6 separate regions of the Mus musculus genome follow, and regions 1, 2, 4, 5 and 6 are each reported to be linked to region 3. The links are microRNA targets in miRTarBase. Many come from high-throughput screens and were not tested one by one. Region 3 holds a microRNA gene; each other region holds the end of a gene's coding sequence.
The links. The annotated mature microRNA mmu-miR-335-3p reads UUUUUCAUUAUUGCUCCUGACC and lies in region 3 at 1,520-1,541, opposite strand. An mRNA with a match to its seed (bases 2 to 7 or 8) in the 3' UTR can be bound and repressed. Matches are read on the target gene's strand: a 7mer-m8 pairs with bases 2 to 8, a 7mer-A1 pairs with bases 2 to 7 and ends in A, and an 8mer does both.

Region 1: miRTarBase lists Gpm6b as a target of mmu-miR-335-3p. The part of its 3' UTR that is shown has no 7-base or 8-base seed match.
Region 2: the mRNA of Prkaa2 is a reported target of mmu-miR-335-3p. Seed matches in the 3' UTR shown: 7mer-A1 at 1,861-1,867.
Region 4: the mRNA of Dusp26 is a reported target of mmu-miR-335-3p. Seed matches in the 3' UTR shown: 7mer-A1 at 1,282-1,288.
Region 5: miRTarBase lists Zfp516 as a target of mmu-miR-335-3p. Seed matches in the 3' UTR shown: 7mer-m8 at 1,689-1,695.
Region 6: miRTarBase lists Ubr3 as a target of mmu-miR-335-3p. Seed matches in the 3' UTR shown: 7mer-m8 at 2,017-2,023.

What each region holds. Positions count from the first base shown.
Region 1 is chrX:166,386,283-166,389,865 of GRCm38, forward strand. Gpm6b (glycoprotein m6b) reads left to right here. Exons shown (of 8, transcript NM_001177955.1): 8 at 670-2,751. The coding sequence ends at 819. It also overlaps a transcript of Ofd1 not described here. Among named protein-coding and RNA genes, the nearest start is that of Gpm6b, 44 kb to the left of the region's middle.
Region 2 is chr4:105,033,064-105,036,646 of GRCm38, reverse strand. Prkaa2 (protein kinase, AMP-activated, alpha 2 catalytic subunit) reads left to right here. Exons shown (of 9, transcript NM_178143.2): 9 at 317-3,583. The coding sequence ends at 555. Among named protein-coding and RNA genes, the nearest start is that of Gm52670, 16 kb to the right of the region's middle.
Region 3 is chr6:30,739,312-30,742,894 of GRCm38, reverse strand. It overlaps Mir335 (microRNA 335), which reads right to left and starts at 1,596; the gene lies at 1,499-1,596. It overlaps Mest (mesoderm specific transcript), which reads right to left. Exons shown (of 12, transcript NM_008590.2): 2 at 2,071-2,225; 3 at 675-754; 4 at 290-367; 5 at 43-179.
Region 4 is chr8:31,095,752-31,099,334 of GRCm38, forward strand. Dusp26 (dual specificity phosphatase 26 (putative)) reads left to right here. Exons shown (of 5, transcript NM_025869.4): 5 at 438-1,295. The coding sequence ends at 637. Among named protein-coding and RNA genes, the nearest start is that of Dusp26, 8.0 kb to the left of the region's middle.
Region 5 is chr18:83,000,716-83,004,298 of GRCm38, reverse strand. Zfp516 (zinc finger protein 516) reads right to left here. Exons shown (of 6, transcript NM_183033.2): 6 at 1-3,026. The coding sequence ends at 2,967. Among named protein-coding and RNA genes, the nearest start is that of Gm41795, 8.7 kb to the left of the region's middle.
Region 6 is chr2:70,020,924-70,024,506 of GRCm38, reverse strand. Ubr3 (ubiquitin protein ligase E3 component n-recognin 3) reads right to left here. Exons shown (of 39, transcript NM_177783.6): 38 at 3,256-3,395; 39 at 497-2,964. The coding sequence ends at 2,847. Among named protein-coding and RNA genes, the nearest start is that of Myo3b, 16 kb to the left of the region's middle.

The sequences.
Region 1 (3,583 bases), not on the chromosome of region 3:
AGATTTGCTTCGGGCAATGGGAAAATACATGGGAAGGATGTGTATGCCACAGGAACTGTAAAGAATGATAAGGATTTTTATGTGAAATGAACTTAGAGGAAATGAAATACTGGCAGTTATAAAAGGGAGAAAATAGTTTTCATTGCTAAAAAATTGTTAACATATAGACTTCATACTTAGCTTTTAATTTTGGTTTTGACATTCATTTAATTTCTTCATGGTAAATATATACTTCTATAGTCATTTACTCAAAATGAACATTTTTCACACTTTGTAGGCCTTTGGGGGGATTTTTTTTTTTTTACCCACAGATAAGTCTTTGCTCCACATTTTTAAACATAAAAAGCAACATGTTTCTGAACTTTTGCATTTGTCTTTTAAAATTACTCTCAAAATGGTGAAAAACACTGTCATATATTTCATTTTTACTTCTTAACAATAACTTGGTCATTTTATTCCCAAGTTCACTATATGTGCATACTAACGTTTCTTCAACCTACTATGAAGCAAACTAGTAGAGCATGCTCCGTGTCTGCCAGCTCTGCCAGCAGAAGAGTATTAATAGCGAATAACCCTCGCCCTTCTCCAGCTGATCCGTCTAATGTGACTAGCAGCTCGCTTTGCCTTCTCACATGCTCACTAGCCATCATGCTCACCCTTCTTTTCCAGATCCACTTCCTCATGATACTGTCTTCTAACTGGGCTTACTTAAAGGATGCAAGCAAAATGCAGGCTTACCAGGATATCAAAGCAAAGGAAGAGCAGGAACTGCAAGATATCCAGTCTCGCTCAAAAGAACAACTCAATTCTTACACTTAAAAGTGTTTGCCAGAGCGTGTCAGCCAATGAATTCACAGCTCTGACACATCATCAGACAGCTGCTCTGCAGTACAGATGTGTATCCCACCAAACTAATGTAGACGTACCAACATTTCACTGTCTGTCTCAAACTGCTGGGGTGGATCTCTAGGAAAACCTTCCAGTGGGTAAATCAGTTTCTTTAGAACAAATATTGGAGGTTTCACTTTAGCCATTTTAAAAGGCAACACTTTTGACAGAATGACCGTTCATCCTTTGCAAAGTCGTGGCATGTCCAGTTAACTGCTAGAGCAGTTTTAACACGGGATAGAATCACATCACGTTCCTTACTGGGGACCTATGGCATGCCAGAATCAAAGGATATGACCCTAGATTTACATATGCCACCTGTCTTCAAGTGTTATCAAAATAGAATCAGTGTCAAGTTCATTTTTGATAACTGACCTTTATTAACCTTTGGCTCATCAAAGATAATGTGATTCTTCCAAACTTAAAACTCAGCACCCTCACGGTCTCACACATTCGAATGTTTCCCAAGCCACTGAGAAACCTATCTTCTAGTAATAGGAAAATGAGCTGCAAGTGTGCTAAATGTATCAGTGCAGAAGCTGGATTCTGACCCGAGCTCTGCAAAATGAGCTTCCCAGTTGATCACATCGGAACAAAATGGGACTGAGGATTTGGTGATCACTATTGTTTGGAAATAAATGTCAGCTCTGCCTTAATATTTGCTTTCAATTTCTAATCATTTATATTGTAACCAGAAACCCAAAATTCCTACATAGATTATTTTGTTCCATGAATATCTTTCTTAAGAAGTGTTACCTTGTTAAAGTGACTACCATTCTAAACCATTTTTAAGTGGTCTGGACAGTGAGTTTACAGTTTCATATCAACTATCTAAAACCTAACTGCAAATTGACCACAGACCTCTGACCTTCTACTTTTATAGACTTTAATACATAAGTAATTTAAATTAGGGTTGGTATTTATTTCACTGTTTTCCTATCTAAATCTTAATTTCCTGGAATAATAATGTTTGATATTCAGCAAGAAAACTGCTTGAGTTTAAGCCATTTTCAAAAGAAACTTGCCTTCTAACTCATTGTGTTCCAGAACATTAAGTGACTAATAGGTACTGGGTATTAGTGATGGTAAGTTTTGTGTTCTTCTTTCTGGAATGATCCATATAACTGTGGGGTGCATCAGTGCTTTTCAAAGGGGCTGCATACTATAGGGTTAACTATGTATATTCATGTTAAGAGTTAACTTGTGGTTTGGCTGTTTCCTGGATTTTAAAACATATACATGTGCAGAGATGTATTCAAATGAAAGGAAGCATATCTTTATCAAGATGCTAGTAAAACTGAACATCAACTATAATATTTCATTTGGATTTTTTTTCTTTTGGATAATGCCGAGAAACGCCTAATTGGATTCCTTTTAATTGGGAGACGCTCTCTTCTGTGTAGAACAGTTGTTCCAAGATAGCTTAGTGTTTTGTTTTCCTGTTGCATGACAGAATTATTGTTTCCAGCAGTGGAGGTGCTGTTAAGAGTCCAGTGTTCTAGAAGAGGCGGTGTCTAAAGCCTAATTTTACTTTTCTAATTCTGGTAGCTATTGCCAGGAACTTTTGAAAGTTTTGTTGAAGTAGTCTAATATTTTTTATGTAAAGAGCATTAAATTTTGCTATGTATAAATTTTTGTAACCTAACAGTGAATCAATATTTTCTATCAGTGCCAAGGGCTTCCTGTAGTTCTATTCAAGTGTTACAATAAATATTTGTAGATAATAGTCAATACTTGTGTATGCTTATTTTAAAGATCTATTTAGGTGGAAATAGTTGTGGATGTACTAAAGAATAATGAAATAAAATTATAGCTTCATTCGCTTGCCTTTTTACCATACATAAATCCTATCTTTCTCTGTTCGCGGTATGGTGTCATTTTTTTTAAATAATATACATCATCAAGATTTTACATAGGTAGAGACATATAGTCCATGGAAGACTGCTACTGGTTTCATTTTGCACGTGCACACAAACACAAGCAAAATGTTTTTAGCAAGAGCAAATTGAGAAAATACTGTAGCCCACTGAGCTGTACTTTGTATAAAATGCTACTAGCACTTGAGTGTGAAACGCACAGAATTTTCCCAACTAGTTTCTCCAATAAAAAGCCATCTACCTACAGGATTGACACATACATAGTTTAATCTTGGGCAAAGGAAAAAATGGGGAACTTGAATAAGGGTCTATAAACTGTTGACTTATAAGCCAAAGTCTAGGGGGAAAGGTATATTTGGGGATATAATGAAAGCTAAGTCTAAGTTGATTCTTTAAGCAGCAGCACTAAATTTGTGTGGGGATTTCCTTGTCTAACTTGAAAGAACCCTGTCAGGGTGCCTATGCATTTGCTCTCCATGTGAGGCCGTGCCTTTAGCATTCTGGGCACAGCACCTCTAAATGAGGACTTGCCTCTGGATCATTCCCCTTCACTCACGCACTGCAGGGAAATGAGCAGGAGCTCCAATGTAATGAAGCTTGTCTCACTTAACACCGTCTGCTCAGGCTGCACTGTGTCACTGGATAAGCCTCCTGAATAAATACTAGAGTGCTTTAACACAACCACAAGTAACCTTGACAGTAATTCTACCATCAAACATAGGAACCTCTGGGGGACACAGGTTTTTCCAATTACCTCTGGTTTAAACACACACACACACACACACACACACACACACTTTAAAGGATGAAATGAGCCA
Region 2 (3,583 bases), not on the chromosome of region 3:
ACCTAGTGTTAAAATCATCACAAAGACATGGTGGGTGGGTCCTCCACTCTTCAAGCAGATCTAAACAAAGTATAAGTAAAACCAAACCTGTGGTCTTAGCAGAAAATAAATTGCCGAGGATGTAATGACTTTTCAGATGTATGCATATTCCCTTTCATTTCCTTATAAATGCTGCATCTTCTAAACACAAGCATCACAGTCCTTCCTAAGCTCCTTGCTCAGATCGGTTTTACTTCGCCTTCTGCAGCATCTTCCCCGGGAGGACTCGGGCAAGCACTCGGCTGTTGCTATGTTTACTGTTCTTTGGTCGTTTCAGATGAGGTGGTGGAGCAGAGGTCTGGTTCTTCAACACCCCAGCGCTCCTGTTCTGCTGCGGGCCTCCACAGAGCACGGTCAAGTTTTGATTCCAGCACAGCTGAGAACCACTCCCTTTCTGGCTCTCTCACTGGCTCTTTGACTGGCAGCACTTTGTCCTCGGCATCCCCGCGCCTGGGCAGTCACACCATGGATTTTTTTGAAATGTGCGCCAGTCTTATCACTGCTTTAGCTCGTTGATTATCCACCCCTGGTCTCTGTCTTTCTGTCACCCCCCTGTGAAATCACATACACTCTTTAAATTATTATCTCACTCGGTATTACGTGCTCTGCAATAGAAGTTGGTGTGAACATTCCCAGGTGACATGCAGTGTTATTGAAATCACCGAAAACACAGAAATCCAGCATTCTGTTTACTCGTAGAACTCTGTAACTCTCCTGTGCCTGTGACAAGTTTGCATGGGTAGTACTGGGTGAGTGTGGTGGCGCTTGCTAACTTACACCTGTGAATTCGCTGTAGATGGCAAGCACACCTCACTGATGAACGAACCCGCTGAGGTAGGGGTGGTTCAATGGGCCTCCTTCCTTCATGTTTCCTGTACGTAAATCCGGTTTACCTCCTAAACTTCAGCAGCTGTTAGGCTGCCTGGGCACTCTTGCACAAGAAGATTAAGATATAGAATAACTGTTAGGGAAATATTATTTCAATGTAGAAATCTGAAAATCCTGTCCCCCTAAATATTAGAAACCAAAGTCTTTTAAATTATTTCTGCAAATACTGCCTAGTATTAGCCATTAAGACTGTGTTTCTGATAACAGGAGCCTAATCTCCCAGCTTCCTGACAGTTGTGCAAGGCGCCTAGTTAAATCACACCACCACCAAGCAAAACAAAACCATGCAAAATTAGTACACAGTTCAATGAGACAAGCAAAATACCAACAACAGTCTCTTAAAAGAAAATTCTACTCTATGATCTTGTTTGTGTTTATCAGACTGGGGTAGCTGGGAGGAGGGCCGGCAGTCATGGCCCTCTGGCATGTTTGCTAATTCCCTTAACATTTGTTATCGATGCCACCTCCTCCCTCCGTCTTCCTCAGGAGCCTCTGTCTTGCTCAATGCTTTTCCCTTTCATTAATCCTTTAGCTAAAAACCTTGCTTTGGCCATCATGTCTTTGTATACTTCCAAAGCTTGATCTCTGTGACCTTCACTGTTGAACCTGATTGGACAGGGAAGCCTTAAATATTTAAAAGTATATTCTCCTGGAATACGTATATGTGTTGTTTACATATATATACATATGTATTGACACATCAGTGCTTTTAATCAAAAAAAAACCAAACATTTTTGTGCAAGTTTTTTTTTTAATTTAAGACAAAAAAGCACTATATTGCAAGATAGATTAAGTTAATTGATTATATGTTGTTTTGGTAAAAGTATTTTAAATTATGTGTAATTTATCTAATAATTATTTATTCATCTATTGTATTTATGTTGTAATTTTAAAAATCATTGATCTGATTCACCCTAGAAAATATTAAGCTCTTGAAAAAAAAAAAAAGCAACATTGCCTTGACAGGTTTCTCTTCACCAAAAATTGTATATTTTCTATTTACCAAGAAGCAAATGAGACTGTTAGACCAGGTTTCTCATGAGATTCCAGAAGACAAGTTTGTCTGTCTTTAAATAGCTTTTTGAATCAGGAATTTGCATCATATCACATCAGATAACTTTGTAGTTCTTTTAAAAAGATGGTCAATATTTATCACTCCAACTTCTCAATGGTAAAATAAAAGAATCTTTGCCCACTGATTGAGAAGGAGAGTGTATAATTTAAGGTACCTTAAGTTTAATCTTTGAAAGATTGCCATCTTGTGGCAATAGATGGTAATTTTAGTAGTTATTTTAATACCAATACTTAGTCCTGCCTGGGTTATCTAATGTGTTTTATGAATGTGGCATAGTTCTGACTTCTCCAAATGTGTCTGTATCCTTGTTTGTGGGGTGGGGGAGAGATCACCTTATGATGTTTGCCTAATCATGGCATGGAAGGCCTTGAAGTAAGGAACTGAATAGATTCTTTACCTCTAATAACAGCATCCACAACAGTGATGAAGGCAGGAAGGAGGCAGAATGCTTTTAGTCTAGTGAATTTAAACCAAAATTACTTTATATGAATGATTATGATGCTATTCAAGAGCTAAAAGTTATTTACTATTGTCTTAATTCATTCCAGTATTATGAATACCCAGGTTGACAGTTACCTGCTGAATTTCAGGAGAACTGAAGGTCATTTTGTTTCTTTTAACATTTTAAGACATAATTATTTAATGAATCTAGATGATAGAGTAAGTTGGTTTTCAGAGAGAATTCAGTGACTCATCTCGAAAAGCAGAGGCAGGAATTCAGTCACAGCATAGGGATTTGTTGCTCTTGGAAACAGAGAAGGAAAGAATTCTTTGCAAATTTACAGTTCCTACATTTCAGTCAATCCTATGGGTATGGTAGGTACTGAGTTTAGAGCAGCCTATCCTCTTGGATCGTGCGGAGAATAACTATTAAGTTATAGATGTGGTATGTCTTGGAAACGGAGTCCATCTGTTTCCAAAATAGTATTTCCTAAAACAAAGAAATCCCACAAAATAATTTTGAAATACATTGTGTTCTGCTCTGCACCTTGCAGAGGACAGTGACTATTAACTCGAAAGACTTGCAGACTTTGAGAAAAAAACAAAACAAAAAGACCCCACATAACTGCAAAAACCCTACTTTGCCCAAACTAGTTTACTCTTTTAAAACGTTTGCTGAGTCTGGTTGCTTACCTGTAATACGACTGGGGAGTATGAGGCAGGAAGATACGTTGGGGCCTAAGAACTAGATAGATAGCAAGACCTTGTTTCAAATTGAAACAATAAAGGAACTGTAGCATCCCATAAGAACATAGGAGAAACGATTGTCTCTGAGCGCCACGGTGTGGTCGTTAGTGACAGTGAGTAACACCTCTTCCCCAGAGCCTGATGCTAATTCAGATCTGCTCCATTGACCATGCACATAGGGTCATCCTGAGTCTGGGCTTGTACCACATGCTGGTTTTCCTAATCATATGATGCTTTTTAGGTAGAACATCTATTCTTTTTTTCCCTTAGAGGGTGACTGAAAAGTCCTAGACAAGGTTACTTATGGAAAACCAGAAGAGTAAGAGAGCAGTGGCTTTCTGTTGTGGCTTCATGGATAGCAAGCCAGTTTTATTCATTTTTCAATGGCCACTG
Region 3 (3,583 bases):
CTACGACACCTGTGCAGAGGACAGAAGTCCGGTTTCACTGACCTGTACAGCAGTTCCTGAGCAACGATATCTCCATAATCGTGAGACAGCAGGTTGATTCTGCGGTTCTGGAGCCCCAGGTGCCGCAGAAGGGACTCTACGATGCTGGCCTGCTCAAATATGGAGTACTGATGTGGTCTCTGAGGAAAGGAAAGCCAGAGATACAACATGATGTTAGCAGTGCCTGCCAGACCCTCATTTGTACCCACCCACCTACCCCCATCACGGACCACACCCAGCTGCTGCTTACCGGCTTGTCACTGAAGCCAAAGCCTAAGAAATCAAGGGCGATCACTCGATGGAACCTCAGGGTCAGCCCTTCCCAGATCTGTTAAGAAAGCAAGCATGGTGAGCACTCTGCTCCCACTGCCCAGCCCCACAGCAAACAGGCCTGCATGCCACTGTACGGAGAGCGTAACTCCAGCTTTAATTTGGCAGTGTCCCTTTCTGCAGTCAGTATTTTACTCCCCTTACAGTACATAAAAAGCAATTCTACATTTAATGAGATTTTATCAAACAGTTCAAATCTGCAAAAGAATTCTAGGGCTGACCAGAACAACAACAACAACAAAAAAAATATCTTGAGTTTTGAGTATTTTTTTTAGGACATAAGCCAGACCTAGAAACATTATTACCTTGTACCAGTCATAGCTGGATGTTGGAAAGCCATGTAAAAGCACAACTATCTCAGGGCTTCCGACCACACCGACAGAATCTAGGAGGAAAATGAGAAATGAGGCAAACTGCATGCAAGGCAGCCTTGACGACACCAAAATCTAATCCAGTCAAAAGGATCAGACTAAATGAATGACATCACCATGCTGTGTTAGAAAGCAAGCTGACAGGACTTCAGGAGCTTCCTCCTAATCTGCGCTTTTAAATCGTAATGGCATGCTTTACATGAAAACCCTTAAAACAGTTTGTTCATCATCACTTAAGAGTTGTGTAGACATCCTCATATTTTCGCTGACATTAATATAAAACTCAAATTTTTAAATAAAAAGGAAAAACAGTTAAAATACTATAATCACAGCAAGCTAAAACTTCTTTGTCCCTAATCAATATTTATCACACCTAATATCTAAGATGTGACAGTTCTTCCCAGTGGATCACCTGAGCTTATACCATTTGTCCATATACTAGCAGAATTCATGCAACTCAAAAAATCAAACTGTTACAAAGATGGGCTAATAGTGATGGGAACTTTTTCTGTATGTGACATATTTCAGATTATTCAAACAATAAAATACCTTGCCAACAGTACTGGATTGAAATTAATACTGCTAGTGGAATAAAACTTTGGTAGCATGTTTTCAGAAATTATTTAATTAAAAGCAATTAAAATATCATATACTGGATTTAACCTAAAGAACCTATGCAAATAAGATGTAACACTGAATATCAAGTCTGGGAAAGAACAACAAGCCAACATAAAAAAAAAAATGCATACTTACTCGACTGGCTATAACCCATGAGAGGGGGTCAGGAGCAATAATGAAAAACGGTTTACGAAAAACAAACATTTTTCGTTATTGCTCTTGACCCCCGCCCAAAAGAAATCTTTTCCAATCTGTTTCTCGGTTTCTTCAGCTATAAAATGAGGTTAATGGCACCTATCTCCAAATGCTGTTGTAAAAATTAAGTGAAAAATGAAATAATGAAGGTTAAAATATAACTGAATATCCTGAGTGTGGTAATTAAATAGCAGTCATCAAGTCAATCTTATCAGCTACATATAACAAATCACGGAAAATAGTGCATGAATTTGGGAATGGGGTGGGGCGTGGGGGAAACAAAGGTATAGATAGATCTCGAAATACTATATAGCTTACCTGACACTAGGGGCGCTCAAAAGAGAAAAGTAATTTCTCAAATACAAATGGGGCTGCAATTACTACCAGGCACAATTCTACCCCCACCTTCACCTCACCTTCACTGTGGAGCAACAGACCAAGGGACACAAAATAAGTAACTTCAGCTGAAACCTACACGACCCACGTCCTTGGGATTCTCCAATAGCCCAGTTCTCACCTTGGTAGAAGATGCGTAGGCCTTTGTAGGTGAAAAACTTGCCAGAAGTCTTCCATGAGTGCAGAGCAGGGGAGAGCTGAGGGGGCGGGATGTGCAGGTACGCAGCCAGCAAGGGCACAGCCAGGAGCCCTACTTGGACCCACCACTCTCTCATCCTGTGGAAAAAGCAGCCAAGGTAACATTGTACACTTCCAAAAATCAGAATGAAACATGGGTGGGAAACCTGGGCACTGTGAGGTTTGACCCCACCCCCCATCCCTCCCCTCCCCTCCCCACCCCTTCCCACTCGACCCCTCCCCTGCCCACTCCACCCCTCCCCTCCCCACTTCACCCCTCCCTTCCCCACTCCACACCTCCCCACCCAACGTGACAATGGCATAAACTTTACCAAGAAGAATGTGATAAACACCTTTACCCTTTGACATCTGGCAGTCACTGTACTAGCTCACTACCATTCTTTCCAAGCACATATGTAACTTACTGCATGGCCTTAAGCAGAGAGCTGCTCCTGGGTTCTAACACATACATATCCTCTGACCAAGTGAATCCCCATTTGGCACTACTGTCTGCATTTGGGCTATGGAACTGTTGAGGGGAGAGACCAGGAGAATTCCAGTAAGCAGCTTTGCCCTGACCCTGAATATCTAATCTCTTACAAGTCTGGGCAGCAGATTATATTTGTGCATTCTTAGCAGACTCTTGAGGTGGTTCCCTTTTATTTAATTAAGACCCCACCCCCACACCTAGCACTCAAGACTTTTGTGGGGGGGGGGGGCAGGAGGGGGGGGGAAGCACAGATTTGTGGCCCCAGCTTGCCATGCCTGGATTTCAAAGGTCCAGATCAATTTATCCTGGAGGCGAGAAATAAGGCACGATTAGAAACCATTTCCTTTGTGACCCGCCATGGTCACCAAGGAAAGGGTTCTCTAAAGAATTGGGATAGTGCCTCCTAAACTAAAGCTACAGACATTAGGAAGTGAGCTACAAATAAAACCGCTGTCTTTGTATTTGAGTGCACCCTATACATAACACATTACCTGCAATTTGATGAAACTGACTGGGTTTTTGTGTGTGTGGGGGGGGTGTTCTCTGTAAACCTGAAATGGTGGGTAAAAACCAGCACCCCTTAGGAACCTCAGCTGCCTGCCTCAACTTTAGTCAGCGCTGAGACTTTTTTTTCCTTCCTCCAAAGTCACTGTCCAATAAAGACACAAGGCTTTGGTTCTACCTTTTGAGGCTATACTAGAAATGCCTGGCACAGTGCCAGAACACGATGGTTTTTATCTCAGTCTGTTATCCACTAACGGGTTTTAAGGCTGAACCTCTTTGAAAAGCAAAAGCATTAGGTTTGGGGGAGGGGGGGGTCTTTTTGTTGTTACTGCTCATTTCCTCAGAACCCATTTGGTCCTGTTACCTGTTCATACATTTTCATGTAGCCTCTGGGGCATCCTTGCTGGACTCACTGAATCCGCAGTGACTCAGCAGAACGCCGGGGAGGGGCGCCTACTGCAGA
Region 4 (3,583 bases), not on the chromosome of region 3:
TGCTGGGAATCCAGCTCAGGGACTTGCTCATCCTAAATGCATACATACATGCTCAGCTATTAAGCATACATGCGTGTGTATGTGTTTGTGTGCGTGTGCACATAGGAATGCGCATGTGTGTGTAGAGCGTGCACATATATGTCCCATGCTGTATCTGCAGAAGCCATGGGGACAATTTTGTGGTGTCAGGTCTCTTTACATGGTTTCTAGGGATAAAACTCAGGTTGTTAGGCTTGCGTGGAAAATGCCTTTACCCAGGGACCCATCTCACCAGCCCAGGATCTACATTCTCGGCACCACTCTTCCTCACCCAGTCCTGTCTCCATATGCCACGGGCTTACAGCCTAGTGGACCATGCTGAGCTCTCCCTAGCCTCTCGCAGCCCCCCCCTTCGCCCCCCAGCAGTCTCTCAGATGTTTCTGCCTTCCTCTTCCCAGGGAAGATCCTGGTGCACTGTGCGGTGGGAGTGAGCAGATCCGCTACCCTGGTGCTGGCCTACCTCATGCTGTATCACCACTTCACCCTTGTGGAGGCCATCAAGAAAGTCAAGGACCACCGAGGCATCACCCCCAACCGGGGCTTCTTGAGGCAGCTCCTAGCCCTGGACCGTAGGCTGCGGCAGGGTCTAGAGGCATGAACTGAAAGGAACCAGGCCAGGTCTCTGGGTGGTTTCCTGGCTCCCAGCTGGGAAGAGAAAACCCAAGTGACAGGTAGTAGAAAGACCAGACAACCCATCCTCCCTCAGCAGCAGGAGAGTGAAGAGCCCCAAGACCACTGTGGCTCTTTGGGGATGGGGATGGAGAGCCAGGTTGGGCAGTGTGATGGGTAGGGGCTGCTGACCTGGGAAGGAAGCAGCTGAGCTGTAAGAGGATGGTTGTGTGGTTAGGCCAGTCCTGGGTTAGAGCAGGGTGTGCCCAAATGACTCAGAATCTCTTCCCCTCATTGTGTTCAAGTGCCCCCCCCCAAACAAAGGACCACTGCCCTGAAGTACGTGAGCAGTGGGGATGTCAGGGTTGCAGACACATAGATGTGAAGGAAGGTGGTACAGGTTGCAGAAAGCAACATTAGAGTCGGTCGGTCAGTGATGGAGTGGTGTGAAAGCCACCAATGCAGAGGGAGCAGGTTGTAGGTTATAGCTGTGCAACTCCAGGAAGAGGGAGGTGTGTGAGGACTGACATGACACCCTACGGGAGCTGCTCAGGGTCAAATAACTTGGAGTCTTTTAGGTGGTCATAGTCTCACTGAAAACCATGCGTCTGGAGTTAAAAAAAAATAAAGAGGTGAAAAAGAAGAAAGTGTCTTGGCGTTATTAACAGTTTGACCCCTTCCTTCTGGGAACCCCTGGCTCACTTTCTAGCCACCAAACCCTTCACCAATTCTTATACAACACTATGAAAGCTTGAGCTGTTATTTCCAACTTATCCACAAGGGGGCAGCAGAGGACCAAAATCTGGATGTCTGCAGCTATTTGGCAGTACTGTCCAGAGGTGAGCCACCCAGGGACCTTTCATCTTCCAAGGATAGGTCTCTCTGGCTCCTAGGGGTGATGAGACAACAGAATACTAATCCTAAATCAAGATTAGCCTAAGTGTTCTACTGTAGGCGCCAAAGTTTAAGGGACAGATCCTTCTAGGTTTTGCTCAGAGGAGTGTAGACAAGCAGGAAGAACATGCTATCTCAACTACCAGGAAGTCATCGCAACTCTAGAGAAAAAGTAAACCATGTTCTCTTTTATTCTGATAGTATATGTCAGAATGGAAAAAGGGGATAGAGAAAGCGCAAGGAAAACATACAGGGGGGAAATGAGCCAGCAAGATAGGTGTATGCTGTAACGCTCTCTCTCTCTCTCTCTCTCCCTCTCTTTCTTTCTCTCCCTCTCTCTCTCCCTCTCTTTCTCTCTCCCTCTCTCTCTCTCTCTCTCTCTCTCCCTTCTCTCTCTCTCTCCCTCCCTCACACACACACACACACACACACACACACACATACACACACATTTTCTCTCTCTCTTACACACACACACACAGACTCTCACAAAAGTATGCACTAAAAGTTTTCAAGACACTTATATACGAAGTGTATAAAAGTGTATAACTACTCCAGAGCGTAGAAGCTAGAAGTGACTCTCACAAAGTGTGGCTTCTAGAGAATATATGGATAAAGAACGAGTTTCAGGATTATCTTCCAGGGTGGATTCTAGATTGTTATTCGTTAATGTCCTAGCTCTATTTCTGTGTTTTACTTCATCTAAAGCTGGGAGGCTCCTTCACAGATTGCAGCTCGACTGTCCAAGAGGCACAGACATCTGTCTCACCTCTGTGCAGCACCAAGCCCTTGCTTGAACATTTCAGCCAACGGGATTCACCACCTCTTAGTCTCGTTTCCAGACAGTGGTTCTGGCTTCTTCCATGGGACGATCGTGGTCATTTCATAGGTAAGACTCAGCTTCGCATCTAAATGGCCACGGGCTCTAGCTCCACCTTTTACAAAACTTTCCCCATCTCTTGAGACAGAGAGGGAGTTCTCTGGTTTGAACCTAGTTCGAGTGGTTCTCTTCTGACCCGGTCCTTTCAGACCAAGAGCTATTTGTTCCCAACCATCTGCATTTGTCGTATTTCCGCTTACCCTACAGGCTGGCCAATACTGCATTCCTCCATATTTATGGGAAGCAGAATTCACACCTCAGAATATGCAGATCCTGACTCTCCAGGGAGACCTGTGAGATGAGGGGATAGCAGGCTCATTCGCTAAGGATTCAAAGTGTGGTATCCTCTGAGGACCCATTTATCAAAAGGACAGAGAGAAGCCTTCATCAGAAATGCGGATTCTAATCAAAATAGGTTGGTTTCCTACTAGAGCCATGAGCCAAAGCCTGGCATGGTAGCACACATGTGTATAATCCCAGTACAGGGCGTTGAGACATTGAGGCAGGGCATCATTACATAGAACATTTCACAATCAATTTTTTTCCAAAGGTTGATTTGTTTGTTTGTTTGTTTGTTTGTTTAATGTAGCTGAGTACACTGTAGCTGTCTTCAGACACACCAGAAGAGGGCATCGAATCCCATTACAGATGGTTGTGAGCCACCTTGTGGCTGCTGGGAATTGAACTCAGGACCTCTGGAAGAGCAGTCAGTGCTCTTAACAGCTGAGCCATCTCTCCAGCCCCACAATCAATATTTAGAAAGTGTCAAATGAATTAAACATAATTAAAAATAACGGATGGGAATATGACTTAGTGGTAGAACACTTGCGTACATTTTTTTTTTTGCAAGAGAGCCTGTATTCAAGCCTTAGCACAACAGATGATGGTGATGGTGATGGTGATGGTGATGGTGATGGTGATGATGATGACGACGACGACGACTATAAATAATTCACGCTCACAGAAGGATCCACTGTAACTATGATTACAGCAGTATAGCATGCAATAGAATGGTCATCTTTCTTTAAAATCTACAATGCGGGCTGGAGAGATGGCTCAGTGGTTAAGAGCAATGAATGCTCTTCCGAAGGTCCTGAGTTCAAGTCCCAGCAACCATATGGTGGCTTATAACCATCTGTAATGAGATCTGACGCCCTCTTC
Region 5 (3,583 bases), not on the chromosome of region 3:
GGAAAGGAGCAGTGAGCAACTCCCCAGAGGAGAAGAGTCCACAATGTATTTATTGTTCGTGAAGTTAAACCTTCATTCTGGGAATTAAGAATGAGTGAATCACCTGAAGTATTTGAGAAACTCTGTGTAATGTGTACTTGAAAGGAGGAAAAGCGTAAGAGAAGACACGTCACACAGTGAAGCAGGGGATGGTGGGGGCTGGGCTGGTGTGAGCCAGAGAGCGAGGCAGGAGTCAGAAGAGGGCAGCTGGAGAGGGCAGGGGACACACAGAGTGAGCGGCTGCAGTGTAGACAACCAAACCCTTTATTGTCTAAGTTACATTAGACGCAACACTGTAAAAACCCCGTCAGGAAACAAGGAGACAGAAGATGCAGAGAGGTAGGTAGGAGGTCCGTAACAGTCAGAGATGTGGAAATCACCACAGGAGGAGGGGCAAAGCAAAACAGATTGGCTAAATAAATAAGGAAACACAAATCATATTAAATACTATTGTTGAGCTGACATAGACAAATTAACAAACCAGTCCAATACTGATGGCCAGCGGGACAGAGAGACCATGCAGCAGGCCAGCACACAGCTGGTCCCAGGAGTGAGCGCTGGGGACCTCATGGCCTTGTGGCTACAGGAAAATTGTGCCTCTCTGTGCTTGGAGGGGCAGGTCATCCTGAGACTGGCTGCTCTCCAGGCAGGCAGACGGACCTCAGGCACCCGTCTTTCCCCGCCAGACCCTGGGAAGGAGACTCATGGGACAGACAGACCTTCCAGTTCTCAATGCCAAGTGCAGCCTCAGACACAGGAAAAACACAGACGACACCTTCGTGTCCCTTTGTGTACAGAACTGTTTAATAACTAAAACACAGAAATAGATGGGCCGAATCACAGGCTCTGACATTCCTAACTCTCACCTTCACTCTCAGCCAAGGGAACAAAAAGCCAGAGAGCGCAGAAATGATGGGGAACCTAGCAAAAAGAACAAACGCCGTCAACAGAAAGGTACTACGCTGCCTCAGGCGGAGAGAGGAATGTATCTCTACGACCTGCTCCTGCTCCAAGTAACGCCTCAGAATGATGGCTATTCCCAAGCGCTCCGACACGGCAAGCCGCTCTCATACAAACCTGCTGTAGGAGTATCAGGAAAAGTAAGTAAAAAAAATTATATACACACACACACACACACATATATATATATATATGTATATATGTGTGTATATATATATGTATATATATATATATATCTGCTAGCCAGTTAACATTGCATTGCTTGCAAGTGCAGCAGTCACCTGAACGGTCAAGTAATTAAAACAGTAACAAATAGAACCTGGAATCAAACATTAACTAACAATAACAACAACAATAATAATAATAATAATATAATAATAATAATAACAATCCAACAGATCATTAGAACAGAGAACCACGCGCCAGGGTTCGTGTATACATGTGTGTTTAAACAAGTCTTTGTATCAGAAGCCCATTTCCTACAAAAACCGCGCTGATCCATTACCGGGTTAAGTAAACTGTCGCTCTCACCAGTATTAAAGGTTAGGATAATTTCTGTACATGTAAAATTATTGCTTTTTTTTTTGAAAAATATATTTAGCATGCTCGTCTTAATCCATTTCCTGCCTTTACAAAATTTCACAATAAAAAAAAACTAGTAAAGCTTTTGCAAAAAATTTCACAGAACGTTTTCATTCAAGGCAGCGGTAATTCGTGATAATGCATAAAATCATATGTGCAAACATCTGGAACTTGCAGAAGTATCGCCATCACACACAGTGTCACAGCAACGGGGAAAGGAATCGCTGCTACCTGCGGAATACAGTTCCGACTGCGCACGTCGCGTGGGTTCGCAGCCTCTGCTCGGGCCTTCACCCCACCGCAGAAACGTGAACTTGCGTGACTAAGGAAGAGGTATATAAAGCCGTCTTCACCCTCAGGCCTGGCGACCCCCATTAATCTGTGAACAAAGTCACTCATCCGGTGGTGCTCACCAGGCCCAACGGGGAAAGACATCTATTTGCTGGGGTGGTGCAGGGGAAAGGGGGTGGGAGGAGGAGAGAGAAGGCTCCAGAGCACTAGCACCCTAAGGGTCTAGGGCCCCCAATCTGCTCAAGGGTTCCTCTGACATCACCAAAACAGGCCCAAATTGGGAGGACTCAGCGGTACTCTGTTAAGACATGGAGTCGCCTTCCGTGAGCAGTTTGCAGAATGTAGCCCTGTTACAAAAAAGGTCCTGAGAATAAAAAAGACACCTGCTCCTCTTAGTGTTCAACTAATGTTTCTTTCCCAAAGCAGATTTATATGTGTTCCCACCTCTGCAGTGTTTCCTGAGCCAGACGCAGCCCGGACGGTGAGGACGCAGCATGGCGGGGCATAAGCAGCTCAGAGGGTCAAGGCCAGACTCCAACCGTGAGGAGCTATCTCATTGCCCTGCCTCACCAAGCTCCTCTCCACAGCACTCGAACACCACCTGAACACCCCTCTGTCTCACCTTCTACTTTAAGTCCCCACTGAGGCGGCGGGGAGAGGCGGTAGTGCAGCCCCCTCCGCTCCCCACATCCTGACAGCATCATCTCTGTCCTACGCACTGGACCTCCCCACAGTGCTGTCCACTTCTTCCAAACACACCAGTATCTTTTTTCCAGTGTCTCATGCCTGTCTTGAGTAATCCAGACTCCTTGAGCTCCCACTGTGCCTGCCAATGCCACTGCTTATCCCGAGGAGACACAGGCCATGGGTGATGAGCACATACATGTGTGTGAAAGAGCTACACGGAATTCTAGGCATAGCATCTTTGCTGTCCCTGGGTCTGCTCTACCGCAATGGCCCCCGAGTCTGACGTATCAGGTCAGGAGGCCCTGGATCTTCTTCCCCAAAGCGGCCATGGTCACTGCTGGAGCCTTCCAGCCGCCCGTGAGGCCACAGTCAACACTGTCACGGGGCCGGGCGCTGGAGGTGTGTCTCTAGATCCCCTTTCGGAGGGGCCCTGCTGGCACAGTCCCTGGGGTAGTATGGTCTCTCCCCTGCAAAAGAAAGAAAATAACAGGCAAGTTCAGTTGGCTTCTAGTCTCAAGGCATTTGCCCTATTCATTTTCTTAGCAACACCCAGAGACAAAAGGTGCAACGAAGCCCTCTGATTCAGGGCGGCTCGGTTTATTCCAGCATCGAGGGATTTGCTTTCACTGCCTTCACAGGAACAGCTCAAAAAACCATCCTCGGGGCTCAGAAAGCATTGCAGGCTCCGGAGAGCAAATAGCAATGGTAGGCTTGGCTCTGCTCAGAGGCTAAAAAGCAGCCAAACAGGAAGAATGGGGGTTTGAAGAGCACAGGTCTGGGGTACAGAGCAGACTCGGGTGAACATTATTCCTAAGGGCAAAGCTGGATTCACATAAACAGAACAGCCCCTGGCACCCACATCCATCTGAGGGAATCTGAGAGTGCTTCCCTCCATTTTCCCAAACAGGTCCCACACGGAAGAAGTGGAAGAGCTGTGCGTTAAGTCATGTGAGCTGTAGAGTATTGCTGAGTGACAGGGTGCACTGGTGTTTGAACAATGTCGTCTCCCAGCTGAGGACAAAAC
Region 6 (3,583 bases), not on the chromosome of region 3:
ACAAAACAAAAAACAAAAGGAACCTGAGACTGAGCAGTTACAATCCCAAAGGCAGTAAAGTAAGGAAGGCTGGGTTACACCCTCTTCAGTGCTTATGGTCAGCGTCTTTCATAGATCATAAAAACAATAAATACCAGAACGTATAAACGGAATTACTATTACTCTGTCCTGGTGAACTACAGGACAGAGGTGCACTGATGAGAATGGTCAGTTCATGGAAGACCACGGACCCCTCAAGACAAATGCCCTTACGAAGCAGTTTCCAGGCCTAGGTAGGAACTCTCAGCAGACAACAGGCCAGAGTCATGCTTCTGCACCTAGCACAAACACTTAACACTTAGCAAAAGTGTGATCGTAAGACCACACAAAACTAACAGGACCTGGTCCTTCAGGAGGAGGCAAGAGAACACAGTGAAAGGCGGTTCCTAATTACCCCATCACTCTCCTATGTCATTCTCAATATCATTGGAAAAGAAAACATAAACATTCAACATTATAAGGATCTTGCACAAAGCAAATGACAGTAGGTTTTATTAACATATCTTACAACGTCAATTATTCCTAGTTTTGTAATTTCTGCTTAATTATAAAGGTTGATTTCACTTCTACAGTAATGTACTGTATTTAAATGATCATTCATACAAGATCACACCAGTACATGTTTTTGAATAATATACACACATCACTCTAACTTGGACCTGTTATTTTAAAAGTGGGTTTATAAATGGGACTTATAAAAGTTAGGGGAATGGAGGTTCTAATTTAGCAGCATGCATGTATTTATTCAAGTACAATTTCAACCAAGTGCTTTTTTTAAAATTTACTGGTGACTAATTCACCAATATCAAAATAAACACTATCAAATATCCAAATTTTAAAGTTAAGGCTAATATTTTCACTTCACATCCATATGCACAACCATAAACATTCCATTTAAATATGTAGTGATCAAAGTCTGAATACATTATACCATGTATATATAGCATCAGAGTTCCAAACTGTAAAATTACTCAAGTTCATGAATCCTGTAACAGTATTTACTAGAGATGTAATTAGCATTTTGCTCTTCAACCACACTTACAAATGGTCTGCTATTTATAATGACCGAAGCAAAAAAGGTAGCAGGCTGAGCTTGTAGCGCAGCACTTTAGAGAGCAGGTGTAGAAGGGCAGGGATTTACCTGAAGAAGTCATTCTACTCTTAACAAAGTTATCTCACCATTTTGGAAATGTATATAAAAATAGCAAGCTATTCCGGCATATTTTCTTAAAATGCTCCAGGCAATCTTCTGGCATTCTGAACACATCTGTGTGTGTACTACTCTGTTCCCCGTATTTTAATGCAAAGCCACTGTTTTATGTTAATTTCATAGTCTGTAACGCCATCATCAATTCAAAAAATTTTGGAACATGGGTTTGATGTTACTTTGATATTTTCTCATTCAATGTTTTGTTGTTTAGTTTTACAAGTAAAAAAATGTAATTTTATATAGCAAGCCATGGAAATCCAAAGTACCAGGAATTGCTTGATAGTACTATATATGAAATAATCATCAAATTATTCAATCACCTGGAAAAAAAAGTCTTGGTACCAATAAAATATGTTTTTCTGTCATCTTCTTTCCCTCTTACTAAGTGGATTTTTGCTCACTCATTCCCATTCTGAATTAACCCCCCACCCACCCACCAATAAGCTGATCCTCACTGCAATGTCTGAAAGCAGAAGCACGGCTCACTCCCAGGGTCAGTACCTCTGGGCCTTTTCTGCTGTAGGAAGCACACAGAAACATCAGTGACACTGCAGGAGCCCAGCAGACAGGAGCTTCTTCAGTCACTGAGGAGAGTCCCAGAACTTAACGCCCATGTGTTGGGCAGATGAGCATTTCAATCTGATCACATAAATAAAGGCTTGGTTGGTAAGGAAAGGTGGGCATGCACAGAATCAAAACTCTGCCATGTATATGTTCTTAACCCTTTTGAGTTTATTGTAACATATGCTCGTCACTAACAACTCTTATTTTCATTTAGTTGAAATGGCAAATTGATTTTGTGTATGTGCGGTGCTTAAGATGAAACTGGGGTTCTGTAAATGTTAGCCAGGTAAGCTTTCTACCACTGAGCTCCACCCTCAGCCCACACACACTTATTTCTAAGGACCTCCCCAACCACACACACGCCTTGCCCTCCCTCTGTGCGCTGCACTGCACTGCACTGTATCTTACAGCTAGTTCAACTATTTACCCGCGGAAAGCATTTATGAAATTCCTGAGAATGAATTAAGTTTTCAGCAAAGCCTTAAACTTTAACAGATTCCTCACAATAAGAAAAAAATGTAAAGTTCTACTATTAGACCAATTTTTTACTATACAATATTTCACATAAATCATGTTTTACATTTGTTTCTAATTACATACAGCGAAAATCTCAAATCAACACAAGGGTGACAAAGGAAAAGATGCATTATGTTTAGCAGATGCAAATGAGAACACAAAAGGAGCAGGGAAACCTCAAATAAACCACATCCTCTCTGTCGGGGAACAACCAACAGGGCGTTATAGGGACAATCATTTCTCAATGATTTCTGTGGACAGTTGTGCTTTTATTATTGTGCACTTAAAAAGTGACCACTAAAGAATGATTTAAATTATTTGTTGTCCGGATACTTGAGAAAAAATATTATACCATTACTGTGGTTACCAAGCACCTAATTTTGGGAAGGCTGCATAATGTATGTTTTCTTTTTATCCCTCAGCAAAGACATCAATCCCCCCAAATTAAATTAAAGCTTATTGTTGATGAAAATCAATCTCAGTGAAAATGATAATATATGCAATGCTGAGGTGTGTGTCACAGCCCATTGTAGTGCGGACCCCATCTTTTATTGATGTGGTCAAACGTGTGGGAAACCCACTGCTGCTCGAGAACTCTGTACCGCTCCTCACAGATGTAGAGAGGCTTGCCTCGCCTGCAACACAAGAATAGCACAAAGCATTAATCATGAGAGCCAAACAGGCTTACCCATGCATTCCTTCTTCAACACACTATGGCAAAGATAACAGTATAATTTCATTTTATGTGTCCTGTATTTTGGATAGGAAAACTATCTCAAAGCTAGAAATAACTATTTAAATTAATGATTGTCATACTTTGTAACATTTTAAGTTGTAATTGCAAAACCAGGTGTGGCACACTGGTTTCTCCTCTCCTGCTGGAGCTTCAGGAAAACCCTTGACATGTGTTTCAAGGCAGGGCTAACCTGAGGTCCCGGTCCTCTTCTCCATGAGCATCCAAGTAGACGGAACCCCAGAGGCAAAAGCGGTGGCCTCGGATGATGATGATCACTGACGCGTTGATTAAAAGGAAAATTCCTGTTCCTGCACCACAATTCTGAGAATGCTTTAAACAAACAAACAAACAAACAAACAAGAAAAACCAATGCACTTTAAATCAAATGGCCATTGTAGAAATCATTACTAATCTAGAACTACTATTAATTTTAAAATAATATTTTCTCTCTTTAAGCCTGTATCCCCAGCTCCAACAGCTCATGAATAAATGAAGAAGCGTTGAAGCGAGCACAATGT